2 linked regions of the Pelodiscus sinensis genome follow. The protein of the gene in region 1 purifies or fractionates together with the protein of each later gene. This does not show direct contact. Links are inferred from orthologs where the notes say so. Each region holds a gene or a part of one and is shown on either strand. Other genes may lie near its edges. The genes, in order: DRG1 and LRRC41.

Region 1 (15,613 bases):
TCATACTTACTGTGGCTGTGAGGTTGATGCCGCCTTTATCTTTCTTCTTATAACCAATATTTGGGGGCTTGCTATTCAGCCGTATTCCAAAGCCCTCCAGTTCATTCTCAATTATCTTTTTGTGCCCCAGTGGTTTTAGTACATCCAGAACAATCAGAATGAGGTTACAAGTTCGAGCAACTGAGGATCAGAAAACAAAGTTCCTCCAGTGGGTTAATTCCCAGACCTTTTTTAAAAAGTACAGTACTTCTAGAAAAACAAAAATATCCATCAAAACTGGTGACAAGATGCGATACCATCAGTTGGTTGAATCCTATTTAAGTTGGTAGCAACTGCAATTTAGTTACCACTTAAAGTTCGTTCGGAGGCCTAAAAGAGCAAAATTTCTAGTCTTAGTCTATATCATGATGTTTTCATTATATAAAAGTTTCTGGAGGTAGGTGACAGGAGAGGGATCACATGAGGATTCCCTGTTGTGTTCCCTCCCTCTGGGGCATCTGGCATTGGCCACTGCGGGCAGACAGGACACTGGGCTGGATGGGCTTTTGATCTGACCCAGTCTGGCCATTCTTATGTAAAAGCCATTAAAGGTAAAAAGGCCAGTTAGCTCATATAGCTTGAACTTAAACCTTCCTACCTAATATCCTGGATAGCAAACAGAGGTCAATGACTGAATGGCTTCAGAACTAATCTTTTCACCTCAATACGGCAGTTGGAGAAGCAATGTGGGCGGCAGTTAATTCCAGTATCCCACTTTAACACAATGATTTTTTCTTCACTGCCATTAGCCTGGCATGTGGAGAGAGCAGTAAGTTACTGCATGGCTGAATTTAAGAGGCACGTGTCTTCTGATGAAGACAGTGAGACCCATGAGAACCAATGAGCAGAGCTCAACAAATAATGCAATCTCCTTGCCACGGGCGAGTAGATTGCAACCCGGAAGAGCTGGGTTCGGGCGATCTGCATATGCGCAGAACGATCTGCGCATGCACAGATCGCTGGACAGCACGGCTGGTGAGCGGGGCTCACCACGGTTCAGCGAGCCCTGCCAATGAGGAATAAGTCATGTCACGTTTTTTAAAGCATCACTAGATTTTCTTGGTCAATAACCTATTGGGTTTTGTGCTGCCAGATTAAGTTTAGTAAAATAATATCACCTAATGCAGATGTTAGACTCTAACCTAAAGAATCAAATCGATGAAATAGTCCTGATGTCTACATTTCAACACCTCAAAAAAGGCATAGGAAATAAGTGAGAGAGAAATTAAAAGTTTTGTTTAATGTGAAATTGGGCCTGAATCTGAAACATAGTGCTTCAGGGCAGATACAAAACATCTCAGTATTAGGGTCTGCCCAATCTTCAGGCAATCTAGCCATTCAAGTGGAACACAACCACTTCCCCCCTTTGTCTATGGATTAAATAACTCACTTCACTATAAAAGAAACGAATACTTTCAAGGCATTAGAAATACAGGATTTCCCAAGCCCAGAAAGCAAACTCAAACTGGTGCTTCTCCAGCAGAAATGATAATGGCTATATTGGTGACAGACTGCTTCTTCCAGCCCTATGCCACTCACCTGCAATGACCTGCCGACCTCTGCCTTTCCCATCTTTAGCTCCCTCAATAATTCCCGGGAGATCAAGAAGCTGTGTGTTTAGAGAAGAAGGAAATACATTATGTATGCCTCCCTTGCCACAAAGGAACAAGACCTCATCCCACTTCTAAAGTTAATTGAATCTATTGGGGATCTCAATAGAAGATGACAGAAAAAAATTGTCTCAGAATTTGTTCATGTAGGTACTAAATCATTGCAAAAAACAATGAGGAGTCCTGTGTCATCTTTAAGACTAAGGGTTTTATTTGGGCATAACCTTTTGTGGGCAAATACATACTAACATGGCTATCCCTCTGATACTTACTCACTAATCATGTCACCCCATAGCCTTCTTTTGAGTTCTTTGAGTCTAACACTATTCAATGTTTTTTAATTCTTTATTCATTCTCATAGCTCTTCTCTAAACCCTCAATTAATCAACATCTTTGCTAAATTGTAGCCTAAGTATGTTAGATATTGTGCAAACAAATAGTTCTGTAACTGCATGAATTCTTAGCAGTTGCATGACTATTCAAGAGTCCCCAGGAGCAGGCCCAGCAGCAAAGCCAGTGCACTCCTGACCCCACTCCCAGGGAGCTCCCTGCCACAGAGGCAGCAGTACAGGGTAGAAGAGACAGCAATGCAGGATGGCAAGCAGAATCAGTACGCAAACAAAGACAGTTTCAAAACCAGCTCCCCTTGTGGATCAGCTGCCTGCTGCCCTACATTGCTGCCTCTGATACAGTAGAGAGCTGGCTTGAAAGCTGGTTCCTCACATGTATTGGCTCCAGTCTATCCCCATCCCCACACTCTGTATCAGAAGAAACAAGAAGGGGGGAATGCATGTAATCAACAAGATTAACCGATAAGCCTAGGCTTTCCAGTTAATTGTATAGCTGGCTACACATTCACATCCCTACTATGGGCAACAGAGCTGAATGCAAAATTACAGAAGCAGTTGCACCAGTGCCAATCACAGAGGTAAAAAAACCTCTCTATACCCCTACTTGACATTTCCCATTTATCCATCTGACAATCATATTAGCCCTTTTGGATACAGCATCCCAACTGAAGCTCCTATTCAGCTGATTATCCACAACATCCAAAATTTAATTCCAATTTTGTATTGATGAAATGAAGTATGGAGAGTTGTATTAAATGAATTGTGGAAAAACTCCCCAGCTGTAGAACTTTCCCACTGAAGCACCATGGGCAGTACTGACAAATGTTTAAAGTTAAAACTCAGTAAAAGATGTTTAGAAGTAGCTCCACAAAACATTCCCACATACTACTTTACCTCTAATTTAACAATAGTTTAGATAGTTCAGCTAGTGTCAAAGCCAACTTATACACACCTCGTTTTAGAAAAAGGGTCTCACCTGTATCTTTGCTCCTTTATATCGAATGACTCCTGGCACAGTAGTCAATGTGGTGAACTCATATGCTGCAACTTCAGAATACACACCAGCAAGGTTACTCAGCAGAGTAGATTTTCCCACTGAGGGAAAACCCACAAACCCAATTCGAGCATCACCAGTCTTCGCAACATCAAAACCTACAACATAATAAAAATAAGTGTTAATAATAATAACTAGGGCACTGTGCCCCCTGCTCACTACATTCACCAACCCCCCATTTTCCACTGCAGCTGGATCATGACCTCTCCTCCTACTCATGCCGCAGCAGGAGGGAGGCTGCCACCAGTCCTTCCTGCAGCCAGATAGGGGCTGGACCGCGAGGCCTGTCCAAGGATCAGGCCCAGGAACATGGCCAGAGGGGGGTTGGGCCCCAAATGAGCAGGGTGCTGGCTGGGGGGGAAGGGTTAGGATCAGACTGGGTGCAGGGTGTCTGGCCAGAGGGGGGGGAGCAGGGGAGGATGCAGTAGCAGGCTGGGGGCAGGGGGGCAGGGTGTCTGGCCAAGTAGATGGGTCAGGAGCCAACACAAGGGCAGGAGAAAGCTGAGGGTAGGGTATCTAGTCAGGGAGGGGAAGGGACAGGAGCAGTCTGGGGCAGCAGTAGGGGGGAAGAGTGCATCAGGCACTGGGAATGCAGGGTCTGTGTACAAGGGGCTGTGGAAGCACTTGCTTCTTTTCATGCCACAGCCGCTCCCAGGCATTAGAGGCTTTCCCTGCTGCACAAATGGGGAAGTCACTGCCACTTCCCTCGGGCTGACACCCATCTGGTGCTCCAGCTTCATGGGCCCCCTCACAAGATTAGAGCACTAGTGCCTGCTTTCTGGGGAGGGAAGAACACCCCAAGGCTTAACCCCAACCTTCAGTGCATTCTCCTCCCCTTTCCTCCTGCAGGCAGCCAGCTGTGCTGAGGCTCTAATTTTGCACTGGAAGGGAAAGGGGGAGAATGACACTGGAGCACTAGGCAGATGAGGGAGGTGGCGGCTCAAGCTCCTGGCCCAAGGAAGATGGCAGCAGTGGTTTGCCTCGAGGCCCCGGACCCAAAAATATAAGTGGGGCCAGGGGTGGCTGCCACCTCTGCTGCTTCCTGACCCTCCTGCAGTGGAGCCAAGGGCCAGCAGGGAGCTCAAAGTGCACCCTAAGGAGCTGCCAGAGGGGGAACCGGGGCCGGGAGGAAGTAGGGGAGAGAGATGCAGAGTGACATGCTGACAACCACTCTGTCATCCCCAGGAACATTTTTATACTTATATCTGTCAATAGAGAGAGAAATTAACAAAAAGCAAATTCAAAGAATGTCTAGTTTTTGGAGAGGAGACCCATTCATATTAGGGATGTAAGAGACTAGTCAATAATCAGATAAGCAGAAGCTTATAGGATTATTAACCAGTGATGCAACTAGTTGCTTCCCTCACTCCCTTGATATCTCTATCAGAGAGAGGCAGAAAGATGAGGGGGAAGGAACAGCAGCTGGTGGAAGCCAGCTTAAAAGCCAGTTCCCCTCAGCATGGTCTCTGCAGGAGGCAGGGGAGAGAGAGGCACAGCAGAAAACAGGACTGGCAGGCTATTCAGAAGAAGGTCAGAGTACTGATTCTGAGCAATGTATCTGAGGTGGGCTACACTTTCCCATTTAAAAATGAGGCGGTCCAGCAAGGTGCTTCATTAACTGCCACCACCCCAGTTTCTGCAAACGCAGCAATTTCCCTAACCCAGGGGTCACCAACCAGTAGATCAGGATCTATTGGTAGATCTTGGCGCGTATGGCGGTGATCTTACTGGTTTGGCCAAGAGACTACCAAGTGCAGCACTTCAGTTGCCCCTCTCCCCACTGCCATTCTGCTCCTGCCCTCCCCCTTAGAGCTTCCCCCAAGAGCCTCCTGCTGGCTGTGCAGGGAAGCAGAAGAGGGGAGAACTGATGCCAGGATGTCATCTTCCCTCCACATTTGTACCCAGTATCCACAGATGAGCAAGGCAGGGCCTTGAAGAAGGGGTGGGGAAGGAGGTAGGACAAATTTGGCTATTTTGAGTTTCCTTGTCCTCTAATCTGAACTCCAGTCATCTGAAGAAGTGGGCTGTGCCCATGAAAGCTCATGATTCCATCTACACATTTTGTTAGTCTATAAAGTGCTACCAGACCATTTGCTGACTTAGATAGAAAAAGTGATCTTGTGCTTACAAAGGCTGCCACTGCCCTAACCCCTCCCTGAATAAAAGTGTCAGAGGAGTGCAGCTGAGTTAGTCTGTAACTGGACAAAAACTTACAAAACAAGGAACAGCCCCGCAGCACCTCAGAGACTCACGAAACAGCTGGTGTCAGGAGCTTTGGTGGGGCAGCCTCCTTCTCCTGCCGAAAGCACTCCACCCGGGCGCTTGGGGAGTCGCTGCGGTGCTGCAGGACTCCTCCCGTGTGTGTGAGCGTCTCCCTCCACGAAGGGCCACGGACAAGTGCTTCAGGGTGGGTTGCAGACCCGGACACACTCGCTCGTCGCCGCCAGTGTGAGGCCGCCCCCGGCCAGCGAGGCCACATGCCCCGCCCCTCCCCCCAGGGCCGTGCCACGGCAAGTGCGTGTAGTCACAACACGGCCCTCTGAAGCCAGCCCATGGCGCGTGCCAGCTGGCAACGGAACAGCGAAGCCACCGGGACGCAGCGGGGAGGGGAAGGGGGGGCGAGTCGGGACCGGGCGCGGCGGGGGGGGGGGGGTGGGGGGAGCGATCCGGGACCGGGCGCGGCGGGGGGGGGGGTGGGGGGAGCGATCCGGGACCGGGCGCGGCGGGGGGGGGGGTGGGGGGAGCGATCCGGGACCGGGCGCGGCGGGGGGGGAGGGGGGAGCGATCCGGGACCGGGCGCGGCGGGGGGGGAGGGGGGAGCGATCCGGGACCGGGCGCGGCGGGGGGGGGGTGGGGGGAGCGATCCGGGACCGGGCGCGGCGGGGGGGGGGGGGGGGGAGCGATCCGGGACCGGGCGCGGCGGGGGGGGGGTGGGGGGAGCGATCCGGGACCGGGCGCGGCGGGGGGGGGGGGGGTGGGGGGAGCGATCCGGGACCGGGCGCGGCGGGGGGGGAGGGGGGAGCGATCCGGGACCGGGCGCGGCGGGGGGGGAGGGGGGAGCGATCCGGGACCGGGCGCGGCGGGGGGGGAGGGGGGAGCGATCCGGGACCGGGCGCGGCGGGGGGGGAGGGGGGAGCGATCCGGGACCGGGCGCGGCGGGGGGGGAGGGGGGAGCGATCCGGGACCGGGCGCGGCGGGGGGGGAGGGGGGAGCGATCCGGGACCGGGCGCGGCGGGGGGGGAGGGGGGAGCGATCCGGGACCGGGCGCGGCGGGGGGGGAGGGGGGAGCGATCCGGGACCGGGCGCGGCGGGGGGGGAGGGGGGAGCGATCCGGGACCGGGCGCGGCGGGGGGGGAGGGGGGAGCGATCCGGGACCGGGCGCGGCGGGGGGGGGGACCCACCTTCTCCGGGGCCGCCGCCGCCGCCGCCTTTGGGGGTGATGAGCTCCCGCCGCAGCTTGGCCAGCCGCGCCTTCAGCAGCCCCAGGTGGTGCGCCGTGGCCTTGTTCTTCTGCGTGCGGGCCATCTGCGGAGCAGCACAGCGCAGCGCTCGCTACTGCCCGCCGCGGAGGCGGCCCCTGCTGCCCCCGCGCCCCCGCCCGCAGGACCCCGCGCGGCCTCGCCCAGCCCGTCGGAGGGGGGGGGAAGCGGGTTACCTCAGCCTCGATCTCCGCGATCTTGGCCAACGTCCCGCTCATGTTGGCGACGCTCCCTCGCGCGCGCGACCAGGCCGCAGCGACCCCGGCGTTCCTCCGCGGGCCCCGCACTGCGCAGGCGCCCGGCGAAACCGCGCGAGAGGAGGCAAGCCTCGCGGGGCTTTCCCCGCGGCACAGAAGGCGGCTACGTCAGTGTCCAAGCCACGCCCCCCCGGCGAGCCCCGCCCGCGCAGGAAACTGCGCCCTCAGCCCGCCCGAGGAGGACGCGTCCCAATGTCACGGGGCTAGCCGGCACCCTAGCGCCCCCTAGGACTCAGCGCCGCCTGGCGGGGCAGCCGGGCCCGCAGCGCTGCCTGCACCGCGGGGGACACACCCCATCGCAGCCCTGCAGGGAGCTGCCCCGCGGCTGCTGTGCTTGGCCCGGCCGCAGCCTCCGCCTTGGTGCCTTGGCTCGGCAGCCCGCTGGTTGCAGCAATTCAAATCCGTCCCGGGGTTTCCTCTCCTCTGCCCCATAGGGGGGCTGCGGGGCGCCCCAAAGAATGAAGTGTGGTTCAGACTACGGGCTGCACCGCCCTGCTCCGGCACTGGGCCACGGACAGTGCTGGGCCACAGAGCCCAGGGATAGGGGAGGGTGGCCATTTTGGCAGGAGCCCCTTAGCACGAGGGGGGAGTGGGCGGCGCAGCTCTGGCCCCAGGATAGGGATGTTAAACATCGATTAATAGCGGCGAGGAGTCCTGTGGCACCTTATAGACTAACTGAAGTGTTGGAGCATAAGCTTTCGTGGGCAAAGACCCACTTCGTCAGATGCACATAGTGGAAATTTCCAGAGGCAGGTATAAATATGCAGGCCAGGATCAGGCTGGAGATGAGAGGTGGATCCAATCAAGGAGGATGAGGCCCACTTCTAGTAGCTGATCTAGAATCAGCTACTAGAAGTGGCTAAACAATCAACTCTGGATTAAACAAAGACTGTGAATGGCTTGCTAACTACAAAAGCAGCTTCTGCTCTCTTGGAATTCGCACCTCCAGATCAGCTGCTAGAAGTGGGCCTCGTCCTCCTGATTGGATCCACCTCATCATCTCCAGTCTGATCCTGGCCTGCATATTTATAGCTGCCTCTGGAAATTTCCACTACATGCATCTCACGAAGTGGGTCTTTGCCCATGAATGCTTATGCTCTAACACTTTGGTTAGTCTATAAGGTGCCACAGGACTCCTCGCCGCTTTTGCAGATTCAGACTAACACAGCTACCCCTCTGATAATTGATTAATAGAAGGGTCTATTATCCTCGTGAATTTTTATCGGTTAGTTGATTATTCCATAGTCCACAGGTAGCCCCTGTTGGGGGAAGGGGGAGGTGTGAGCTCCCCAACCCAACATGAGCTGGGCTGCCTGCCTGCCTGGCTCCTAATACACTTTAGATGCAGAGCCATATCAGGGGTAGGTCCAGTGCCCAGTGCATAGACTCATAGACTTTAAGGTCAGAAGGGACCATTATGATCATCTAGTCTGACCCCCTGCACAGTGCAGGCCACAGAATCTCACCCACCCCTCTTAGAATAATCCTCTCACCTATATCAAAGATATGTGCCCAATGCTACAGAGGAAGGCGAAAAACCTCCAGGGCCTCTGCCAATCTACCCTGGAGGAAAATTCCTTCCCGACCCCAAATATGGCAATCAGCTAAACCCTGAGCATGTGGGCAAGACTCACCAGCCAGACACTCAGAAAGTTCCCTATAGCAACTCCTATCATCCCTCCATTGACCTATTTCAAACTGATAATGAATGGTCAATTAGTTACCAAGATCCCGTTATTTCATCCAACCATCCCCTTATCATAGAATCATAGAACCAAGTCCAGCCCCCCGCTCTAGGCAGGACCAATCCCATCTAAATCAACCCGGCCAGGGCTTTGTCAAGCAGAGACTTAAATACCTCTAGGGATGGAGACTCCACTACTTCCCTAGGTAACCCATTCCAATGCTTCACTACCCTTCTAGTAAAATAGTTTTTCCTAATATCCAATCTGGACCTCTCCCACCACAACTTGAGACCATTGCTCCTTGTTCTGCCATCTGAGAACAGCCTCTCTCCATCCTCTTTGGAACCTCCCTTCAGGAAGTTGAAGGCTGCTATCAAATCCCCCCTCACTCTTTGCTTCTGCAGACTAAACAGATCCAAGTCCCTCAGCCTCTCCTCGTAGGTCATATGCTCCAGCCCCCTAATCATTTTGGTTGCCCTCCGCTGGACCCTCTCCAATGCTTCTGCATCCTTTTTGTAGTGGGGGGCCCAGAACTGGACACAATACTCCAGATGTGGCCTCACCAAAGCCGAATAAAGGGGAATAATGACATCTCTGGATCTGCTGGCAATGCTCCTCTTAATGCATCCTAATATGCCATTAGCCTTCTTGGCTACAAGGGCACACTGTTGACTCATATCTAGCTTCTCATCCACTGTAACCCCCAGGTCCTTTTCTGCAGAACTACTACTTAACTGGTTGGTCCCCAGCCTGTAACTATGCTTGGGATTCTTCCGTCCCAAGTGCAGGACTCTACACTTGTCTTTGTTGAATCTCATAAGATTTCTAGTGGCCCAATCCTCCAATTTGTCTAAGTCATTCTGTACCCTATCTCTGCCCTCCAGCGTATCTACCTCTCCCCCTAGCTTAGTGTCATCTGCAAACTTGCTGAGGGTGCAATCTATCCTCTCATCCAGGTCATTGATAAAGATATTGAACAAAACCGGTCCTAGAACCGAACCTTGGGGCACTCCGCTAGAAACCGACCGCCATCCTGACATCGAACCGTTGATCACTACCCGCTGGGCCCGGCCTTCTAGCCATCTTTCTATCCATCTTACCGTCCATTTATCCAATCCACATTCCCTTAACTTGCTGGCAAGAATATTGTGGGAGACCATATCAAAAGCCTTGCTAAAGTCAAGGTATACAACATCCACTGACTTTCCCATGTCCACCGAGCCAGTTACCTCATCATAGAAGCTAATCAGATTGGTCAGGCACGACTTGCCCTTTGTGAATCCATGCTGACTATTCCTGATCACTTTCCTCTCATCCAAGTGTCTCAAAATGGATTCCTTTAGGATCCCTTCCATGATTTTTCCGGGAACTGAGGTAAGACTGACCGGCCTATAGTTCCCTGGATCGTCCTTCTTCCCTTTTTTGAAGATGGGCACTACATTTGCCTTTTTCCAATCATCCGGGATTTCTCCCGATCTCCACAACTTTTCAAAGATAATGGCCAAAGGCTCCTCAATGACATTTGCCAACTCCCTCAGTACCCTCGGGTTCATTAAGTCCGGACCCATGGATTTGTGTACGTTTAGCTTTTCTAAATAGTTCCTAACCTGTTCTTTACCCACCAAGGGCTGTCCATCTTCTTCCCATCTTGCGTCACTTAGCACAGAAGTCCAGGAGCCGACCTTGTCCGTGAATACAGAGGCAAAGAAAGCATTGAGAAACTTCAGATTTCCCCACATCATCTGTCACTAGGTTACCTCCTTCATCCATTAGGGACTGCACACCCTCTCTGATCACCTTCTTCTTGTTGACATGCCTGTAGAAACCTTTCTTGTTATCCTTCACATCCTTAGCCAGTCGCAACTCCATTTGCGCTTTCACCTTCCTGATAACCCCCCAGCATTCTCGAACTATTCATTTAAACTCCTTCCTAGTCATTTTTCCAAGTTTCCATTTTCTGTAAGCTTCCTTTTTGTGCTTAAGTTCACCAAGGATTTCCCCTGTAAGCCAATCCGGTCTCCTACCAGGTTTGCCTCTCTTGCTATGCGTCGGGATGGTTTCTTTCTGTGCCTTCAATAAGGCTTCTTTAAAATACTGCCAGCTGTCCTGGACTCCTTTCCCCTTCATGTTAACATCCCAGGGGATTCTTTCCATCAGATCTCTGAGGGAGTCAAAATCTGCTTTTTTGAAGTCCAAGGTGTGTATTTTACTACTCTCTTTCCTTCCTTTGGTCAGGATCCTGAAATCTACCATCTCATGATCACTGCTTCCCAGGTTGTCACCCACCTCTACGTCCCCTATTAGTTCCTCCCTGTTTGTGAGGAGAAGGTCAAGCTGTGCACGGCCCCTGGTTGGATCCTTCAGCACTTGTACCAAGAAGTCGGGACTGAGCCAGGGTCCTGGGCAGCCCTGCTAAAAAATGTCCTGGCAACGTGTGGGGGGAGAGAAATGCATGTAGTCTATAGCATTAACCAATTAACTTTTGCTTATCTATTAATCGACTTTTATACTATAACATCCCTACCCCAAGAAGGCCTGGACAACCAGCATAAGGGCAGCTGGTGCTAACGCCCATTGGCAGCAAGGCCAGAGCTGGAGCCTACACCTGAGCTGATGGCAGCAGGTCTAGGAGCAGACCAGAAGCAGCCGGCAATGGGGAGGGGCTGCGAAGCCAATGGCAGGGGTCTCCCCTGATGCAGCAAATCCCCTTGGTCAGGTCCAACCTGTAGCTGAGGAGACTGTAACTAACATCCTCAGCAGATTACAGGCCCAGGTGGATCTCACAGCATTCAACCAGGAATCAAATGCCAGAAAATTATGACTCTAGGGAAAACGTATTTCTATTTCTGTTGTTGTATTACCCTAGCACCTAGGTACCCTAGTCATAGACTGGAACCCCTCTCTTAGTTATTTCTCTTGCTGCACTTCAAGGCAGTAAAACTATGACAAGTTGTACGAGGAAGATTTCAAGGCTCGATGAGTGAGATTTTAAATGCACACTGTAAAATTTTTTCCATAAAATTGTAATGGTTTTAAAACTACAAAAGGAAGACATTTCCCTCCATCTGAGTGTCAATGTTGGGTTTGTAAATCTTACCAGTAAACAAAAAGATGGACTGTAATGAGCAGTGCGGGCTCTCTGGGCCCCAATGAGGGCCCCTCTTGGCAGAATAACTCTCCCCAGTTTACCAAATAAAGCAGTGGTTCCCAAACACTGGCCACGGCACATCGCCAGGCCACACCCATGGGAGCAGGGCCAAGACAGGGCAGGCAGTGGCCTTACCGGCAGTGGGGCATGGAGGAGGCAGAGCGGAGCCCATGTGGACCGGTATCCCCCAAGGTGGTGGCATAGGTGGAGGCTATAGCTACGGGCTGGGTGCTAGATTTCACCAGCACTTCTTGGAGGGATGTAGACAGGGTGGAGACAAGACCCAGCACTCAATGAGAAGGGCAGGGATATGGGCAGTAGGTTGTGGCTGCCCAACTATTGCCCGCCCTGTACCGTGTCTGGCCCAGCCATGGACTTGGGCACGCAGGTGGCAGCACATGTTGCCATGAGGAACTTCCCCACCACACATGCTCCCAGGCTGGGTGCATGCACGAGCCTGGCCACACAGAGTCCACCGCGCCAAGGAAGCTGCAACCCCCTCCCTGTTATGGTCCTGGCCCCATAGGAGTCCACCATATGGTTGCCACTAATGGTCCTGCTCATGAGATACTCGGCTGGAGGGGTGATAATAACATAAATTTCTTACACTAAGAAATGTAAGTGTTGAGGGGGCTCAAGGCAGGGAATATGGGGGAGTGCAGGAGTCATTGCTGGAGAGTATGAGGGACCTGGGCAAAGGGCTGGGGACAGGAAGTAGGACAGACTGGTAACATTTTATTTGCATTTTAATTATTTGCATAACGAACATGCAATTATTCAAATAAAATGTTACTGATACACCAGAAGTTTGTGAATGGATTTTCTGGTCCACGGTATAAAAAAGATTGGGAACCACTGAAATAAAGTAAGGAAAACTCCACATGGAGAAATGGAGCTTGGACCCTGAGGAATCCCCTTCATAGCTCTCAGTGAGAGCAGGACAGCTTCAGCTAATATGCTATTAAAACAGATCAGGCTGAGTAAATAATAGCTGCTTGGTGGAAGGAAAAGTTACTGCCCCTTTAAGGGAAAGCTCTGAACTATAGATACTTGTTTGGTTTATTGTTTATTGAAAATGTAGTTTTCTAAACAATTCAAGGAACTGAGAACTTTACAAAGAAGGATAGTGTGCTCGCTCTTAAAAGAAAGCTAAAGTGCTACCTAAAAGAGGATTCCTACCCACCTGTTGCCTAATAAATATGTTCTGTGGCTTCTGTAGAGAGGCCTGTGGATCTCTGATACACCACAAGGATTTCATGTTACACAAAAATAGTCGAAAGCATCTCAGGGTGTGTCTCCACAATTCTGATCACATGATACTTCCTGTTCTATTTGAAAAACAAACAAAAAAATAACTCTCCTGAAAACAGAATTTACTGAGACTAACATAACAACCAGCCCTCAGGATCAAAGAATTCCTAGTTCCTTCACTGGGGTAAAACATACAGTTTTCCACTTGGTTCTAAAAATACATTTATTGTATCTAGCTTACTCCTTCCTAGATTTTGATTTAATTAACAAAGTTACTAACACTAGCAAAAGCTCTGTTTAAACTTGTTCCTCGGAGGTAGTTCCTCAAAAATGCTTAGCCCAGACCCTAGACCCCCTATTCTGTGAAAGTCACTAAGCTCTCTTATCTCCAGGGGGAAAAGGCGTTTCCTGACCCTGAGCTGGAACCTTCCTAAATCCTTTCCCAATATGATCGTCTCCTAACAGTAACAGAGGGCAATATTTCAAGCAAGCACCACAAAAATACAGCCTATCCTTTTACAGACTGATAATGGGTTACACAGGGAGTAATACTTTTCTCTTGAATATAATGTCCCCAATAGGAAATATATTTGAATAATGAAATCCAAAGATGATCCTGGAAGACTGAGACACACTTTGGGGAAATGGACAATTGTAAGAATGGAAGTTAGATAATGGGACAACTCGGAAAGTGACTGAGACGTAAACAATTGGGGATTGGATAGTTGGCAATGGACAATTGGAGCATAGTTGGCCTTAGGCCCAGCTTTAAATGTATTTACTAAAACTGGCCAACTGAACCAAAGCAGCCAAACATTCAGAGGATTGCTCTTGGGAAATTCTATGTCACTGTGTGCGTATAGAATTCACAGCCCCTGCAGATTTCTTTGCTTCCCCACAGAAGAGGCAAAGGGAAACTATAAGGGTACACATGATCAATGCCATAACTAGCTAATTTTGCATCTGAGGAAAGAATATAAAATTGCACCTCCTTAGGAAACGGCACCCCTAAGGAGTGGTTGACATTGACAGGAGCGCTGACATTGCGCAAGGCACGAGCGACGATACCTTAGTAGCTCCTGTCTTAAAATAATTAATTTTCTATATTATTTTTCTGCACCCCCCTCAGCTATACGGCTGAGGTAAGTGCGTCACCCACCTCGCCCTTGTTACAGCCCTGCACATGATGCCCCAGGCAAGCAGATTCAAACCTTGACCTCTAGAGCTTAGTGTAGGAGCCTCTACACTACAGGTTGAGCTATAAAGCTAGCTAGCACTCAGCTTAGGCTGTAGTGCTCACTCATATCAGAGACAGCGACAGCAAGAGAGAGAGAATTGTTCCCAGTTTTCTTAGTGAATTCACCAGGAGTATAAAACAGGTATACATTTTTAAGGAGCTTTATTGTCAAGGACAGTATGGCCTTGTAAATGCTTGTGGTGCCTCAGGATGAGGACTGATCTACATGTTTGGACTGATAAAAATTCTTATCAAAATACACTGTATGAACTGTTTGCTACTGACGGTTCTAGAGATGGTCAGTAGCCAATATAAATTGTGAGTCTGAGTCCCCAGAACTCAATTGCCATTCAGCTGAGATGGGAGGGGTTGAGGGATTTCCCCCTGTGCTCCCTACTCCCGTTCTTCATCCGTTGTACTGTAAATTAAATAAATTACCAAAATAAGAGAAACCTACATGATTATATTGTTACCTTCATATATAAAATATGCACAATTTTGCAGAATTGTAAAATATTGTGCACAAAATGTTTAATGTTTGGTGCAGAATTTTTAATTTTTGGATGCAGAATTCCCCCGGGCTTAGAGAATACTATTAGATTACAGAGACAATGTAATGGGGCCATTGAAAAGGTGGGAGACTGGGAACAGGCAGGGCTGAATGTTAACAACAACTAGATAGTATCAGGAGCACAATATTACGGATGTGAAGAAAGAAAAGCGGAGCAAAGAAAGCAATAGAATCTGGGAGAAAATGAGAGAAAGTCAGAAAGACACTGAGAAATCCACCTGAAAGTCTGACTGAGACTCATTTATCACCTTGCGCTGATGAGTGGTGGAGGATGACAGCTGCGGTATTATCTGCCTTTTTATTTTTTGTAATAGAAAAACAACTTTTTTTGTTTGTGCTGAAAAAATTCTGTTCCCTAAGGCCGTGAGTGTTAATGAATGTAAATAGGTTTAGGGTGATATTCCAACCACTGAGGTAATTACGTAACATGATCAACCTCTTAAATTGACCCAATGCCCAAACGTGTGACACAATTAGGGATTAAAACCCAAAACAGGAGACAAAAAATAAATATCTTTAAGATAGTAGAAAGCAGAGTGTATAAATCAATTACCCAAAACTGTTTGTGGTGTTGTTGCAGCTCTGTTGGTCCCATGACTCAGGATATGAGCGACTCAAGACAAGATGAGGGATAATTTTTACTGGACCAGCTTCAGTTGGTGGAAGGGAAAGCTCTCAAACTCCTGAAAGTTTTTTTTTTTTTCAGATCTAAAGAAAGTAACCAGAGTGCACAACGAATACAAGGTTCTCTCATCAAACTTATCAATAATATAAGATAATGAACACAAAATACCACAAGGTGGCGTAGGAGGGGACCAAATTTGTATCTGAAATAACAAATGTCCTCCTCAAACAGTTGAGAGGTATTACCTGGTGTGGTTTCAGTCTTCATTGCAAGACGTCTAATCATAGGATCAGGTACACAACCACAG
Region 2 (16,116 bases), on another chromosome or scaffold:
CTGACAGGCATGTAAATTAGACCACCCGGCATAGTCAATGAAGCGGGGATTGAAATATCCCCGCTTCATTAAAATAAAAATAGCCACCGCGCCGTGCCGGCACAGCTGATTGTCGGCACAACGTGGCAGTCAAGACGCGAATCGGTCAACAGGAAAAGCCATTGTCAACCGATTCTGTAAAGCTCCTTTCACAAGGCATAAGGGAGCAGTAGACAACGGCTTTCCCTGTCGACCGATCCGTGTCTTGACTGCCACGTTGTGCCGACAATCAGCTGAGCCGGCACGGCGCGGCGGCTATTTTTATTTTAATGAAGCGGGGGATATTTAAATTCCCGCTTCATTGTCTATGTTGGTATATCTAATTTACATGCCTCTGTTGGCAGAGGCATGTAGTCTAGACATCCCCTAAGAGTGCCCGGTAATGCCTGTTCCACCCCACCAACATTTCAGAGCAGATCTTAGCCGCTTTTAGAATTTGACACCAAATTGCCCAACACACCTGAGAGTAAAAGCTCTGTTGTTGCTACTAACCATTGTAAGACAGAACCAGCTTTTCTAGAGATGCCCAAGAGCTCAACAGGTTACCCAAAGTCCGACAGGTGTCCCCGGTCAGCGGGATGGAGAACAATTCCAGGGCGGACACACTTCGGAAGCGGCATGCCGGTTTCAGAGGAAGGATCCCAACAGATCCTCCTGTGCAGCCAACGCCCTCCAAGCTAGGAGTGTCTGCTGCAGAAGGGGCCCAGCCATCAATGGTTTCCCCCTCCTGCGCACCGCTTTCGTAGAGGGACTCTGCTATTTCCTCCTCCTCCCTAGCAACGGCGAAGACAAAATCATAAAGGTCTTCCGGATCTGCGTGAGCTCTGCGGCTTCTCCTGGGGCAGCGGCGCTTCCTCCCCACTGGAGGCTTGAACCGTCTATAGGGCTTTTGGAAAGTGGGGCTAGCCGAACACCTTTCCGTGAGGGAAGAAGAAGAGTCTTTCAGGTTGCAATGTCCGGGGGGTACTTTGTAGCGTACATCAGGGCAGGCGAGGTTTTGCAAAGGATGGCTCCTCGAGCCACAGAGCACTGGGGTTTTAACAGTGCAACTACTGCTCCTGGACAGTTCGGTAGAAGCGTGAGAGTCAGGATCAGCTTCTAGAAGCAGTTTGGGTGAAACAAATTGGACTGTCTTGCTTCTGGTCTCACGATCACCCCCCTGGCCTGGCTCTGATTGCTGGCCTGGCTCTGACTGCTGGGTGGATCCGCAGCACAGCTGGTTTGACCTGAACAGGGCATCATCCTCTTGAGTTAACAGGCTTTGGGCACCAGACTCCTCTCTGCAAAGACTGCAAGGGCGGCCCTGGTCCACAAGTGTCCTACCTGGGTGCCAAAACCCAGCACTCATGGTCAGAATGAGGACTAAAAGTATTTTGTCGGGAACAGGCCAGGAACACATGGACACCTGGCTGACCGCTCCATGGTGGATCAGACGATGGAGCAGCAAGCTCAGGGACTGTCTAATGGACAGATCAGAGGTCAGCAGATGACGGAATTTCAAGGTTCTCAGGGAGCTGGCCAGGTTTTCTAGCACTCTTTGGTTGGGCTGAGCAGTGAGCTCTGCTACCCCCTGCAGCATATTGCAGATGGTGAGCTGTGTAACATGCCGGGAGCTGAGGAGTAGGGGCGAAAACCGCTGGTCACTCAGGCGCTGATCTGAAGAAACATCCAAAACTCCATGCAGGACATTCGAGAAGAAAGTTTCAAGGAATTTCTTCCTCCAGCTTGCTATGTTCTGTAAAAATATCCCAGAGTTAATGGACTGTATCCTCATTTAAACAAGGTCACAGTGGGAAAGAGGGAGATGGAGGGGTGGTTGTTCACCTTCGGATGCCAATCCAGATTCCGTCCAGGTCAATAAGTTGTTATCCTCTGACAAGTATTTAGTGGATTCAGTCATTTCACAAAAACCACCATTGCCACTTGTTGCTTTTAAAGTGACAGACTACCACGGCTACGCCTCTGAGATTTTGTAACCACTTTCCCAGATATCGGTCTCAGGCTATGTCTAGACTGCATCCCTCTGTCAGCAGAGGGATGCAGTCTAGACATACCCTCAGCAGAGATCAAGGAATTGAATGTGCCAGGGAGACTGAAATACAGTCTGACCCCCAACAAGCAGTTCCTTCAGGAATGTTTGGGGGGACAGTGGTGGCTAACAAGCTCCTAATGCCACAGCCTGTGCTACATGGATTCTGTGCTGCACGCCAGCATTTGACATTCTGAAAGGTACTGGAATCCATCTTAACTAAAATCAGGAGGGCTCGGTATGTCAGAATGGGAAGTCCAGACACCAATGGCTTATTCCCGAGGGCTGTGTCTAGACTGGCGAGTTTTTCTGCAAAAGCAGCTGCTTTTGTGGAAAAACTTGCCAGCTGTCTACACTGGCTGCTTGAATTTCCACAAGAACACTGACTTCCTACTGTCTGAAATAAGTGCTTCTTGCGCAAATACTATGCTGCTCCCGTTTGGGCAAAAGTCCCTTTTGCGCAAGACGGCCAGTGTAGACAGCACAATACTGTTTTGCGCAAAAAAGCCCCTATCGTGAAAACGGCGATTGGGGCTTTCTTGCACAAAACCGCATCTAGATTGGCACGGACGTTTTTCTGCAAAAAGTGCTAGATTTTGCCAACTCTGCCCCACGACTCAGAATGCACCTGCTTGCTCTCCAGCCCAATATATTAAGCCCTCAAAGTGCTATAGCAGCCTCCTGGATGAAAAGATCTAGCTAAGTACCAAATAAGGGATGTAATAGTATAGTCAATTAATCGGTAAGCAAAAGCTTATCAGTTAATGCTATAGACTACACACATTTCTGCCCTGCCTCCGCCGTCGGCCAGTAAATTTTTTTAGCAGGTTGGCCAGCAGCCTGGCTCAATTCCAGCTTCTGCTGGGTCCAGGACCTACCCCTGCTGCAGCTCTGCATTTAAAGTGTATTATGAGCTGGGTTGGCAGCTCAACTCAGTTCCAGCTCATGCCAGGTCCAGATACTCAAGACACCCCGTAGACAGGGGCTGCTTCCACCCCGCACGGCTGCCTCTGATACAGTGGGGTGACAGGCAGGCAGTCCACAAGGGAAGCTGTTTTTTAAACTGGCTCCCCTCACAGACCAGCTCCCGCCTGACACCGTGCACTACTGCCTCTGATACAGTAAATGATCTGGAGAAAGGGGTAAGCAGTGAGGTGGTAAAATTTGTGGATGATACCAAACTGTTTAGGATAATCAAGACAGAAGCAGACTCTGAGGGACTCCAAAAAGATCTCACCAAACTGAGTGATCGGGCAACAAAATAGCAAATGAAATTTAACATGGATAAGTGTAAAGTAATGCACATCGGGAAAAAGAACCCCAACTATACGTACAGTATGAAGGGGGCTAATTTGGCTACGACAAATCAGGAAAGGGATCTTGGAGTTATCGTGGACAGTTCTCTGAAAACTTCCACACAGTGTGCAGCAGCGGTCAAAAAGGCAAATAGGATGCTAGGAATTATTAGGAAAGGGATAGAAAATAAGACACAGAATATCTTACTGGCCCTGTATAAAACTATGGTACGCCCACATCTTGAATACTGTGTACAGATGTGGTCTCCTCACCTCAAAAAAGATATTTTGGCCTTGGAAAGGGTTCAAGAAAAGGGCAACTAAAATGATTAGGGATTTGGAACGGGTCCCATATGAGGAGAGGTTAAAGGGACTGGGACTTTTCAGTTTAGAAAAGAGGAGACTGAGGGGGGATATGATAGAGGTCTATAAAATCATGACTGGTGTGGAGAGAGCGGATAAAGAAAAGTTATTTATTAATTCCCATAATAGAAGAACTAGAGGACACCAAATGAAATTAATGGGTAGCAGGTTTAAAACTAATAAAAGAAAGTTCTTCACACAGCGTGTAGTCAACCTGTGGAACTCCTTGCCAGAGGAGGCTGTGAAGGCTAGGACTAGAACAGAGTTTAAAGAGAAGCTAGATAATTTCATGGAGGTTAGGTCCATAAAAGGCTATTAGCCAGGGGATAGAATTGGTGTCCCTGGCCTCTGTACGTCAGAGGCTGGAGAGAGATGGCTGGAGACAAATCGCTTGATCATTGTCTTCGGTTCCACCCTCTCTGGTGCTGGCCACTGTCGGCAGACAGGCTACTGGGCTAGATGGACCTTTGGTCTGACCCAGTACGGCCGTTCTTATGATACAGAGGCAGCAGTGCAGAGTGGCAGGGGGCTCCTTGGGAGTGTGGACGGAGCACACTGGCTGTTGAGCTCCACTCCTGGGGACTCCACAATAGTTGAGTAACTGATAAGAAATCATGAGGTTAACTGACTATGCAATTAACCAATATTTAACATCATTATTTTGAATACCATGGTAACACATGAGTCCCTGATCCTATAGGCATTTATACATGATTAAGTTTAGACACATCAGTAGTCTCACTCAAATCAATGGAATTACTCTCATGCTCAAAGTGAAACAGATGCATAAGCGTTAGCAAGATTGGAGTGTAAACTTTGTGTCCTTACTAAATTGCTTTATCAAAACGTTTCCAACTCACCTCTGACTTGGGTGGTCTGATTTTCATCACATCGTTCCACAGTTTGTGCCATACTGGCTCGGTTGAGAGTCCTGAAAAACAAACTTTTATTTTACATGAAATCCTCCACCTCAACAGCTTTGCTCAACTCTCCTCTCTTGGGTTTCACAGTGATGTTAATTTAACACAAATAAGAATCATAGAATCATAGAATCATAGGACTGGAAGGGACCTCGAGAGGTCATCGAGTCCAGCCCCCCGCCCTCAAGGCAGGACCAAGCTCCACCTACACCATCCCTGACAGATGTCTATCTAACCTGTTCTTAAATATCTCCAGAGAGGGAGATTCCACCACCTCCCTTGGCAATTTATTCCAATGTTTGACCACCCTGACAGTTAGGAATTTTTTCCTAATGTCCAATCTAAACCTCCCCTGCTGCACTTTAAGCCCATTACTCCTTGTCCTGTCCTCAGAAACCAAGAGGAACAAATTTTCTCCTTCCTCCTTGTGACACCCTTTTAGATATTTGAAAACCGCTATCATGTCCCCCCTTAATCTTCTTTTTTCCAAACTAAACAAGCCCAGTTCATGAAGCCTGGCTTCATAGGTCATGTTCTCTAAACCTTTAATCATTCTTGTCGCTCTTCTCTGTACCCTTTCCAATTTCTCCACATCTTTCTTGAAATGTGGCGCCCAGAACTGGACACAGTACTCCAGCTGAGGCCTAACTAGTGCAGAGTAGAGCGGCAGAATGACTTCACGAGTTTTGCTTACAACACACCTGTTGATACAACCTAGAATCATATTTGCTTTTTTTGCAACAGCATCACACTGTTGACTCATATTCAACTTGTGGTCCACTATGACCCCTAGATCCCTTTCCGCCATGCTCCTTCCTAGACAGTCGCTTCCCATCTTGTATGTATGGAACGGATTGTTCCTTCCTAAGTGGAGCACTTTGCATTTCTCTTTATTAAACCTCATCCTGTTTACCTCTGACCATTTCTCTAACTTGCTAAGGTCATTTTGAATTATGTCCCTATCCTCCAAAGAAGTCGCAACCCCACCCAGTTTGGTATCATCTGCAAACTTAATAAGCGTACTCTCTATCCCAATATCTACATCATTGATGAAGATATTGAATAGTACGGGTCCCAAAACAGACCCTTGAGGAACTCCACTTGTTATCCCTTTCCAGCAGGATTTAGAACCGTTAACAACAAGATTAGAAACATGAGTTGTATTTTTGAGACTATTCAGAGCACTAGACTGATATTGATTTAAAATAAGACATTTTATGTTTGCTAGAGGTGCGATGAGGTTAAACTAATTTTTAAAACACATCTCCTACAAAAATAATCTTTTCCCATGTTATATATTACACATATTATTCTTTTAGTTTCGGTAATTAATTAATTATTATAAAGTAATTAAACCTTTTCTGGGCTAATTCCTGTCTTAATATTAGGGATGTAAAATCCCATGTAATTGGTTAACCAGTTAAACATGAAATTTAAGCTGTTAACCTATGGCCGTTCCAGGCCCGCTGCAGACAAAGGCTGCTCCGGACAATATTACAAATTGTTAATATTTTTAGAAAGCCAAAGTTTGGGGTGAAATTTGAATTGATGGTGTCTTTTAAAAACTATACAGTTGGCGATTTTCACTGAATTCTCATCTATTTAAAGAGACTGAATACACCAGATATCTCCAGTCTTTTATATAATTATTTCTCGCCAGCAATGGTCAGCAGTCACTGAAAAACATTATCTTTAATGCTGTTCAGTGTTCCATAAGAAACATGTGGCATTCTAAAATCTAAATCCAGTTCCAATTAAGGAAAGCATCAACCCCCAAAAGCTTCTCATAGCCAATAGTAACTGTTATTCCTTGTTGACAATCTCGACAAAGAGGCCAAGAAGCGAATGGACAATGGAAACCAAACAACCCTTCAACTTCAGAAAATAAATTTCTATAAATAAAACTGACCTTTTTTCACAGCAGTTTCCTCAATCCTTTCCAGGTAATAGATATTAAGCAACGGCAGGATGCCCTGAAGTATCTGTCCTGGGAGTGCTTTGGGGATGGAGGAAGAGAACAGATGCAGAACACTTTATAAGTCTGAAAAGTATGGAAAAGATTTAGAAAGACGACAAAGTAAAACGGAGAGTAAAGTTCCCACTAGGGTAACACCTGGGTACATGCGTTATGGTCACACGAATGTGCATTTTGGAGCTTGCACTTGAAACAGGGACAGGAACCCATCACCACTGTAGCCAGAATGATGCAGTGAAGCTCCACAGCGGAGCCTCCTGGGCATCACACCCTGCTCACCAAGACCCCAGGGTGCCCCGGTGACTTTGGCCCGCACACAGGATGCTCCAAGTGCAGCCTCGCAGATGTCACAGGCCTAGCTCCGGTCCCGCCAGACGCGCTGCCCTGGAGCAGGCCTGCAACCCCCCCCCCCCCCAGCATCCAGACACACTGAAGTTGGGGCATCCCCGCCCCCCCACGTACTGAGACCCCCCCGCCGCCGATCCCTCCCCCTCTGCACTAGAACCGACGTGACCCCCCCCCCACGTACTGGGACAGGCCCAGGACCCCCCCCCCGCCGCAGGCGGGGCCCCCCCTTACCCCAAACCTCTCTCTCCAGGGCGCCCATGGCGGCGCTCACCACCGCCCCGCTCAGCTCGAAGAGACTGGGGGGGCTCCCGGCAGCAGCCTCTCCCTCCGCCCGGGCCTCCATGGCGGGCGCCGCCTTCCCTCAGCCCCGCGCGCTACGGACGGGGCCGCCCAGGGGACAGGAGAGCGCCGGCCCCGCCGCCATCTTGGGGGCGGGGCATTAGAGCCCGGCTTCCGCTTCCGGGTGAGTGAGGGGGTCACGGGGAGGCGGGGCTTCCGGCGGGTGACCCTGGTGAGTCCTTCTTGGCCTGGGAGGGAGCCCGGCCGGCGCGCGGCAGCAGGGCGGCGATGGGGCTGCGGGACGAGGAGATGCTGGAGGGCGGCAGCGGGGATCCTGAGGTAAGGCAGGTCCAGCCCGCTCTGTCCCGGCGGCTGCAGGGCCGGGGTTCGCCCCTGCCCCACCGCGGCCTGGCCCCCGGCACAGCCCTTTGCCCCTTAGCTGTGTCCCCTGCTGGCCCCCGTACCCCTGTCCGCGCGGCCCGCGTGCGGTACAGCCCCTCTCATAACTGTGTCCCCTGCCGGCCCCCGTGCCCCTGTCCGCGCGGCCCGCGTGCGGTACAGCCCCTCATAACTGTGTCCCCTGCCGGCCCCCGTACCCCTGTCCGCGCGGCCCGCGTGCGGTACAGCCCCTCTCATAACTGTGTCCCCTGCCGGCCCCCGTGCCCCTGTCCGCGCGGCCCGCGTGCGGTACAGCCCCTCTCATAACTGTGTCCCCTGCCGGCCCCCGTGCCCCTGTCCGCGCGGCCCGCGTGCGGTACAGCCCTTCTCACAATTGTGTCCCCTGCTGGCCGCCGTATCCCGCTCATTCTTCTCCTCCTTACAATAATTGTGTTCTCTGCCGGCTCCCGTACCCCGCTCCCTGCGGGCGCAGCTTCCCGCTGTCGGGCCCGGAGTGTGAGGGGCGGCTCGGCTCCGTGTCCACCTGCCGGGGGCGGAGCAGCAGCGCAGACCCCCCCCCCGGTCACGCCAGCCCCCCCCGGGCGGGGTCCTGCTGGGGACGCGGAGGCTCCAGGCCACGGTCGCTGCCTTCGGGGCTCCGCGGGGCCTTCGAATCAGAAACAAACCCGGGAACCGCCGCGTGGCTCCGGGCCCGGGATTGGCTCCCCCCGCATCGCGCCCCGCGGCTCCCAGACGTTTCGGCGTCGCGCCCCCGTCTTGAGTTTTGGGGAAAAAGACCCCGCCCCGCCCCCCCCACAACAAAACCCGTTGAGCAAACACAACTGGGGGGGGGGCTGGGTCGCCTCGCGCCCCTCCTGGAACTTCCTCACCCCCCCCCCCCCCCCCAGTTTGGGAGCCCGTGCTGGATGTTACTGAAGGGTTTAAGGCTTTGTGGGGGGCACAGCATCACTGACCGGTGTCTGGTCTCTTCCCCCAGGGAGAGGAGGAGGAAGAGGCCGAGCTCGTGGTAAGAACTACGGAAGCGGAGAAAACTCTTCTACTCGGGGGGATGCAAGAAACACAAACGTGTTAGAATGGGAGTGAGCTGCGCTTGTTGTTTCTGATCAAACAAGCTTGTTCTTTTGGATTTTGTATCTGTTTGTCAGAAGCTGGGAATGGCCCACAGGGGGTGGATGGCTTGATGATTCCCTGTTCTGTTCATTCCCTCTGGGGCACCTGGCATCCTGGGCTGGATGGACCTTTGTTCTGACCCAGTGTGGTCGTTCTTCTGTTAAGCTGATATCAAATTAAAAGAAGAAAAGGGGCTGATGAAAGAAAACACTTGTGGCATTTCATTGTTCTGTGCAGCATACAGGGAACAGAGTAGGCTAATATATAAGGAACTGGTTTTCAGTGAATTTGTAGGTGTACATCTGTGCATACGTTTTTGTACCATGGCTATCAAGATATGCTTAGGCATATCTGGTAGTGTACGCAAAATAAGTGCATGTTATGTTATATGTGCAAATGCATGAGGTGTTTACCAATGTCTGTCTATGAGCTTGCTGATTATCAGGCCTGCCTTATAATGTGTAGGTTATATGGTGATATGTTTTTTCAGTTTGAGAGCTTTAAAAGCTCCTGGCACCACTGCTGGTGGTGGTGCCTTTTTCTTGTCTCTTCTTAGAAGAGGTACAAAGCAGGGGCAATTTGTCCAGCTGAGGATATGCCCCCCAAGGTTAGGGCTTGGATGTGGATGTATAGCATTATATATAAATGTTACTTGTCAGCATACAGTAGAATTTGATTTGGCAATATTGTCTGAACTCTCAAAGCCTAGTCTTTGCATCAAACCACGTAGAATTAATAACTACAGTAGTCGGGGTTATTGGACTTTTTGTTCTCAACCTTTTAACTTGATCTTCAGGATCCTTTAACCACAATAAGGGAGCACTGTGAGCAGACGGAGAAGTGCGTGAAGGCCCGGGAGAAGCTAGAGCTCTGTGATGCGCGAGTGTCCTCAAGGTCCCACACACAGGAGGACTGTACGGAAGAGCTGTTTGACTTTCTGCATGCCAGGGACCACTGTGTAAGTCCAGCAGAGGCTGATCTCTAGTCATTTCTGTTGGCTTGCAATCTTTAATGGGGGCGTGACTGAAATGCCTTATTTCTATAGTACCTAGCTGTTACCTCGCACTCTTCATCAGTAGATATCAAAACACTTTGCAAAGGAGGGCAGTATCATCATCCCCACTCTACAGATTTGGGTAACTGAGGCTCAGAGGTGAAAGTCACCCAGTAAGCCAGTGACTGAGCCAGAATAGAACCAGGTCTCCTGCTTCCTTATCCATCAGGCAGACTACTTATATAAAGCTCTTGATGTTCTAATAAATTTGATTGCAGTATAGGGTGAATAATCTACTGAAGCAAAGTCATGTATTTAATTTTGAAGAACTCTGGACCTTGATTCTATGGGGTCAATTCTTTTCTCTTAACTACTTATTTGTTCTTGGTTTTTTTTTGTTGTTGTTGCAATTGTCTGATTATAACCATTACATTTATAGGACATCTTGTATGAGATAAGAATGCTCTAGGGGAATGGCTGTTTATTGTCAGAGGGCCCTGTGCTGGTTAGTATGCACTGCAGTACAGCTACTAAATACAGGTCATCTCTGAAGCAGGTGGATTAATTTAAAATATTAGCATTTAAGAACATTTGGCTTTACAAAAAATCCTACAAACAGACTGCTAGTTTGTCAGCCTATAGTAATTGGTTTGAAATACACTTTTGAAGCCATCATAAGTTTTTGAAGAAAGGCCAAGGTGGGACCATATTAGATCATTAGAAAATTTTGGATGGTCAAGGGACACACACTTCTCTGTGATTAATCCCCTAATTAAGTTGCCCCAGTTTTAGTCACTCTGATAGGAACACAGACAGGGAAGTGAAGAGCGAATGTGATGTTTGTCCAGTCCTCAAGACATTTATATTCAGTAAATTGGTCCGTTAGTGAAAGTTTTCTTCTTCCCTTTTTAGGTGGCTCACAAACTCTTTAAGAGTCTGAAGTAAATATTGGAGCAAGACTCACCACCTGCCTCTCTTGTTCAGCTGGAACTTGGTGCAGTTTCTTTTTGGATTCCAAGTGCTGCTTGCTGCCTATTGTTGTGAATGTACAGTATACAAGAACAGCTTCCTAGCTGTGCTGCAATGATCCAAGTGCCAACGGGTCACAGCATCAAAGTTCTGTGAAAAAATGCGCAGCTGTAAACAACATCATCTACTGTTTCTGTGGATTTTTTCCCTCCATATTAAACATATTCAAAGTTCCTGTGGAAATGGTTTCATTTTATGGCTGGATGATGATGATTGATATTCATAACCAGACAGGTGGGAGAGGAGGTTTTTTTCCCCTGTTGTAGAATTCCCTTGTGCATAATCATTGTCAGTAGCATGCCATGCCAGGATCAAATAGTTCATATGACCTTCTTGCTTGTTGGCGCTGTCAAGAGATTCTTTCTGAACATAAGAACGGCCGTACTGGGTCAGACCAAAGGTCCTTCTAGCCCAGTATCCTGTCTACCGACAGTGGCCAGCACCAGGTGTCCCAGAGAGGGTGGACCGAAGACAATGATCAAGCGATTTGTCTCCTGCCATCTCTCTCCAGCCTCTGACAAACAGAGGCCAAGGACACCATTTTATCCCCTGGCTAATAGCCTTTTATGGACCTAACCTCCATGAAATTATCTAGCTTCTCTTTAAACTCTATTATAGTCCTAGCCTTCACAGCCTCCTCTGGCAAGGAGTTCCACAGGTTGACAACACGCTGTGTGAAGAAGAACTTTCTTTTATTAGTTTTAAACCTGCTACCCATTAATTTCATTTGGTGTCCTCTAGTTCTTCTATTTAGGGAACTAATAAATAACTTTTCTTTATCTGCCCTCTCCACACCACTCATGATTTTATAGACCTCTATCATATTCCCCCCTCAGTCTCCTCTTTTCTAAACTGAAAAGTCCCAGTTGCTTTAACCTCTCCTCATATGGGACCCGTTCCAAACCCCTAATCATTTTAGTTGCCCTTTTCTGAACCCTTTCCAAGGCCAAAATATCTTTTTTGAGGTGAGGAGACCACATCTGTACACAGTATTCAAGATGTGGGCGTACCATAGTTTTATATTCTGGGCCCTAGTCTTCCTGTATGTGGAGACTAGATTGTAAATCTGTCAGTATCTTGCCTTAATAAAAACATACAAGGTACTTATGTCCCTTCCCCTACAAGAGATGGATGTGCTACCTGCAGACTAACTTAAAGAAAAGAAACATGTGCAATACAAAAGGTTCCCATTGTTTTAAACAGCCCTCTGACTTGAAAACACTGTCCCTGGTATCTGTACTACAGCAAGAATTACAGGCAGAAATCATGTTGGGTATCATGTCCGATAGGCATGTTCAATGCATTGATATAGCAGCATTTTCACCAGCATCTTGTGAATGTAATCACACTGCCCAAATACTTCCTAGCTTCAAGATAAAGGGGTGTTCTTTGCTTCTATCTATACCAGTGTTTCCCAATTGGTGCTGCGGGGAACCCTGGGGTTCCACGAAGCAAAACTAGGGCTTCCGCGAGGAGCCAGCACTCCCCTGCCCCCTCTCAAAGAGAGAAGAGAGCCGGCTAGCCAGCAGAGGCATGGGCAGCCAGTTGTATGGGCTTGTGGTGCTCATGTTCCACCAATATTTAGAGCTGGAGTGGGCCCCGGCCCCCCAGCACGTCCTCCCACCCCAGGCACGTCCCTGCCGTGCCCAACCTTCACTGAGCTCCCCCTTGCCGGCTGCCGCTGCCCTGAGCGGCGTGCTCAAACCGGTGGGTGGGGAGATGCCTGGGAGTGACATAACGTCATGGCCTGGGATTTTAAAACTGCTGGGTGCTGTGTTGCGCCATGTGGCTGAGTTGCGGGTTTGGAGTCTGGGAACAGAGCGCAGAATTCAGCCTCGCAAAGTGGAAGGCAGAAGGAAGGGGAAGGGCTGGGAGAGGAAGGGGCTTGTGCGGGGGGTGGGGGGGAAGAGAGGGGAAGGGTGCAGGAGAGACAAATGCCAAGGGCCAAGTGCAGACAATGAGGAAAAAGGCAAGAGGGGAGGTGTCAGTGGGAGCAGGACAGGGTGATGCTGGGAGGGGAGAAGGTAAGGACATTGGGGGCAAGAGGGGAGAGGGGGAGGTGCTGGGAGAAGGCTTGAAAGAAGGGGTGGGCATGAGGAAGGCCGGGATGGAGCAAGTCATGTGAGAGGGCACAGGGGCATGAGGGGAATGGGGACAGAGGGTGGTGGTGGGTGGGCATCAGGGAAAAAGGGAGCAAAGGGGGTGGGGGAAGTGAGGGAAGGGGGAGGCATCAGGAGGGTGCAGGGGTAAGAGAAGGTGCAGGTGTCAAGGGATTCTGGGGGTGAAGCAGAAGGGCAGACACCTGCAGTGGAGGGACCAGCATCAGAGGAGAGAGGCAGGGCAGGCGTGCAGAGGGAGGTGTTAGGAGAGGGGATGAGGAGGCATAGCTCATGATCAGAGTGGGGCTACTGGAGGAGTGGGCACTGAGAGGAGAGAAGGGCTGGTGGAGGGGGCAGGTAGCAGGAAGGCTGAGGGCAGTGAGAAGGGCAGGAGCCAGGACAGCAGAGGAGAGTGAGGAGCTGAGGGGCAGCAGGCACCAGGGGAGCTGATGGAACAAGGGGAGGAGACATGGCAGCAGAGGGGAAAGGTCGAGGTTTATAAGATATTTATTAATAACTTGGGTGCCGCAGTGGCACATCCAACCAAGCCTCATGAACTCAGTACTTGCGAGCTGGGCTTTTGCACAAGAGCATCTATGGCAGTGTGGACGCTCTCTTGCCCAAGAAAGGGCCGATGGCCATTTTAGCCATAGGGCTTTCTTGCGCAAGAAATTCATGTTGCCTGTCCGCACTGGCCTCTTGAGCAAGAACAGTTGCGCAAAAGGGCTTATTCCTAAGCCGGAGCATCATAGTTCTTGCTCAAGAAGCCCTGATTTCATACATGAGATCGTCAGTGTTCTTGTACAAGAATATGCGGCCAGTATAGACAGGAAGCAAGCTTTTGCGCAAGATTGTGCCAGTGTAGACACAGCCAAGGGGAGGGCAGGAGGGAGGCCTCAAGGAAGGGGTGGGGGTGGGGTCTTGGGGAAGGAATGTGATTTTCATGCATTGGTGGGGATTTTCCTCCCCCCCCCCCTCTTTTTTTTTTTTTTTTTGCTTGACAAACCTAGGGGTTCCTTGAAATTCTGAAAAGCTGAACAGGGTTCCTCAGCCAAATAAAATTGGGAAACACTGATCTATACCTTCCCTAAGCTTCGTTGTCTGGGAAAAGGCCAGGCTGATCCCAGTGTCTCCCTAGGTAAATGTGGCTTCCATTGTAGGAACTTAGGGGCCATCTACTTTACTGGGAAGATTGATACTGCTGCTGTCAATCTTCAGGCATTTGATTTAGCAGGCCTAGTGGGGAAATGCTAAGTTGAACACTGAGAGCACCCCTGTTGATGCTGGCACTCCTCACTGTCGCAAAGAGTACAGGAAGTTCATGGGAGCGTTTCTCCTATTGACTTCCTGCAGTGAAGAGGGAACCTTAGCTCGGCTTAAGGTACATACGGGGAGTCAATGTTTCTGTAGCTGGAATTGCATACCTTAAAAGCTGATCTCCCCCACAATGTAGACTTGTACTTCCACATTTTACCTCCTGTCTGGAAGGAACCTGTTCCCTTCTTCCTCACCCTGGCTAAACTAATAAAATAATGACTCTTTAAGGTGCCTCCTGCAGCTATTTGCAGTGCATGATATCAAACAGTGATTTAATTATTAGTCTTATTAACTAATCAGGATGCTTTTACTGTTAATTGTAGTTGATAATACTTGGTCAATCATTTTGCTGTGAGAATAATATATTGTTTAAACTAGAAGATTTACCCAGTGTTGCTCGGGTCCTTAAAGAAGTCTTGTTTTTCTTAATTTATATCGATGCTCTGAGATGGAGATGGAGGGGTTTGGTATGCAGGTTGTCCCAAGGAAAAAGAACAACCGCATCCCTCTGTCACTGCAGCAGCTTGGGGGCAGGCAAGAACAACTCCTGCTGCCCCGGTGGGTTCCCATCCTGGTCCCCATATCTGCCCCCAGATTCCCCAATCCCACCTTCCATGGGTGCTAGTTCTATTCCTCAGGAAGCTAGTAGTGGCTGCCCTCAGGGTGTGGGGGAGGGGGGGAAGACGCCAAACCTCACCCACCACTCGAAGCCTCCTGCTCAGTCACCACCAGCTTCCCCAGCCCTACTTTTCCAGGGTGACAGCTCCATCCCTTGGGAAGCTGGTATTGCTGCCCCCAGGGTGGGCAGGGCTCGAACCCTCAACCAACAGTTCCTTGCTTCATTCCTGTGGTCATTCTGCAGTATGACTCCCTCCTACCAGACCCCTCCTTTTCTGTTTAATGAAAAACAATCGTATTCCAGGCACATCCTGTTGCCCTGGCACAACCATACCCAGACCTTCCCGTAAGTTAGGAGGAGAAGCTTGAAAGAGAAACCTCTGAACTGTCATTCATGCTTCTATTTGACACTTTATGCCTGGGTCTCAACAAAGATGCTAATTACCTTACCCATTACAAAGATAGCTTCCCCAATTATCACCTCTAATAACATTAGCTCACGGACATTAACTTGCCCCGCTCTGTTCTGAAATTTGATTTGTCCTTTTTATATGTGTTCACTTTTTTTGATTGTATCTCTTTGGTATATATGGTCATGCAGATTTTCTTCCACTATTTAATCTGAGGAAGTGGGTCTGGCCCACAAAATAAACCATCATCACCTAATAAACCATCTTGTTAGTCTTCAAAGTGCTGCATAGTCCTGTGTTTTATTTCTCAAAGAGGTAGTAAGGAAGTGATGACTACACAGGACAATAGTAAAGAAAACAAGGAATTCACAGGACCCTGCACAACATTGATGGCTCCTTGAGCAGCTGGGCTACTGCGCCCTGGGTCCCCCTTTTGGGGGTGGGGAAGCAGGCCCAGCCCGGCTAAGGGATGTGCCCAAGGGCAGGCAGCCAGCGGGGGACGAGCTGGAACTGGGGGGCTCTGGCAGGAGACTCCCAAGCTGCTTGGCGGGGATGGGGAGTCCCCAGGGCGGGGCCTCACGCTTGGGGGGAGGAGCCTCAGAGCCGGGCGGGCGGGGCGGGGCGGGGCGGGGGAGGGAACTGACTCCCCGGCGGGGGCCGGAACCTGCCTCGGCGGCCCCAGTTCCCGGCCGGACCCGGCTCAGCAACGCGCACCATGGCGGCGCTCACGGGCCCGGCGCGGCGGCTGCTGCCGGGGGGGCTGGCGGGCCTGGGGCTGCCCCCCCGCCGCTTCCGCTACAAGAAGAAATGGGTGAGAGGGGCGGGGGACCCGCGGCCGCCTGACCCCCCCCTCCCCGGAATCTGCCCCCCCGGAAACGTTCCCCTCCCCCAT

The links.
Region 2: the proteins of DRG1 (region 1) and LRRC41 purify together in Homo sapiens (affinity purification with mass spectrometry; 3 studies listed by BioGRID and IntAct, counting the BioPlex papers as one, with this or other methods). This does not show direct contact. The link is inferred for Pelodiscus sinensis from reciprocal best matches to the Homo sapiens genes DRG1 and LRRC41.

What each region holds. Positions count from the first base shown.
Region 1 is NC_134725.1:8,320,762-8,336,374, forward strand, and holds the start of DRG1 (developmentally-regulated GTP-binding protein 1), read right to left. Parts: upstream 6,868-15,613; 5' UTR 6,751-6,867; coding exon 6,709-6,750; intron 6,579-6,708; coding exon 6,455-6,578; intron 3,152-6,454; coding exon 2,976-3,151; intron 1,649-2,975; coding exon 1,579-1,648; intron 181-1,578; coding exon 11-180; intron 1-10. UniProt on the Homo sapiens protein: Catalyzes the conversion of GTP to GDP through hydrolysis of the gamma-phosphate bond in GTP. Appears to have an intrinsic GTPase activity that is stimulated by ZC3H15/DFRP1 binding likely by increasing the affinity for the potassium ions.
Region 2 is NC_134719.1:3,144,158-3,160,273, forward strand, and holds the start of LRRC41 (leucine-rich repeat-containing protein 41), read right to left. Parts: upstream 7,402-16,116; 5' UTR 7,313-7,401; coding exon 7,201-7,312; intron 6,688-7,200; exon of another isoform or gene 6,643-6,687; coding exon 6,556-6,642; intron 4,658-6,555; coding exon 4,587-4,657; intron 1,775-4,586; coding exon 532-1,774; intron 1-531. Other genes in the region: UQCRH (cytochrome b-c1 complex subunit 6, mitochondrial), read left to right, coding at 7,537-7,587, 8,624-8,653, 9,554-9,715, 10,664-10,696; 5-cytosine rRNA methyltransferase NSUN4, read left to right, coding at 15,940-16,035. UniProt on the Homo sapiens protein: Probable substrate recognition component of an ECS (Elongin BC-CUL2/5-SOCS-box protein) E3 ubiquitin ligase complex which mediates the ubiquitination and subsequent proteasomal degradation of target proteins.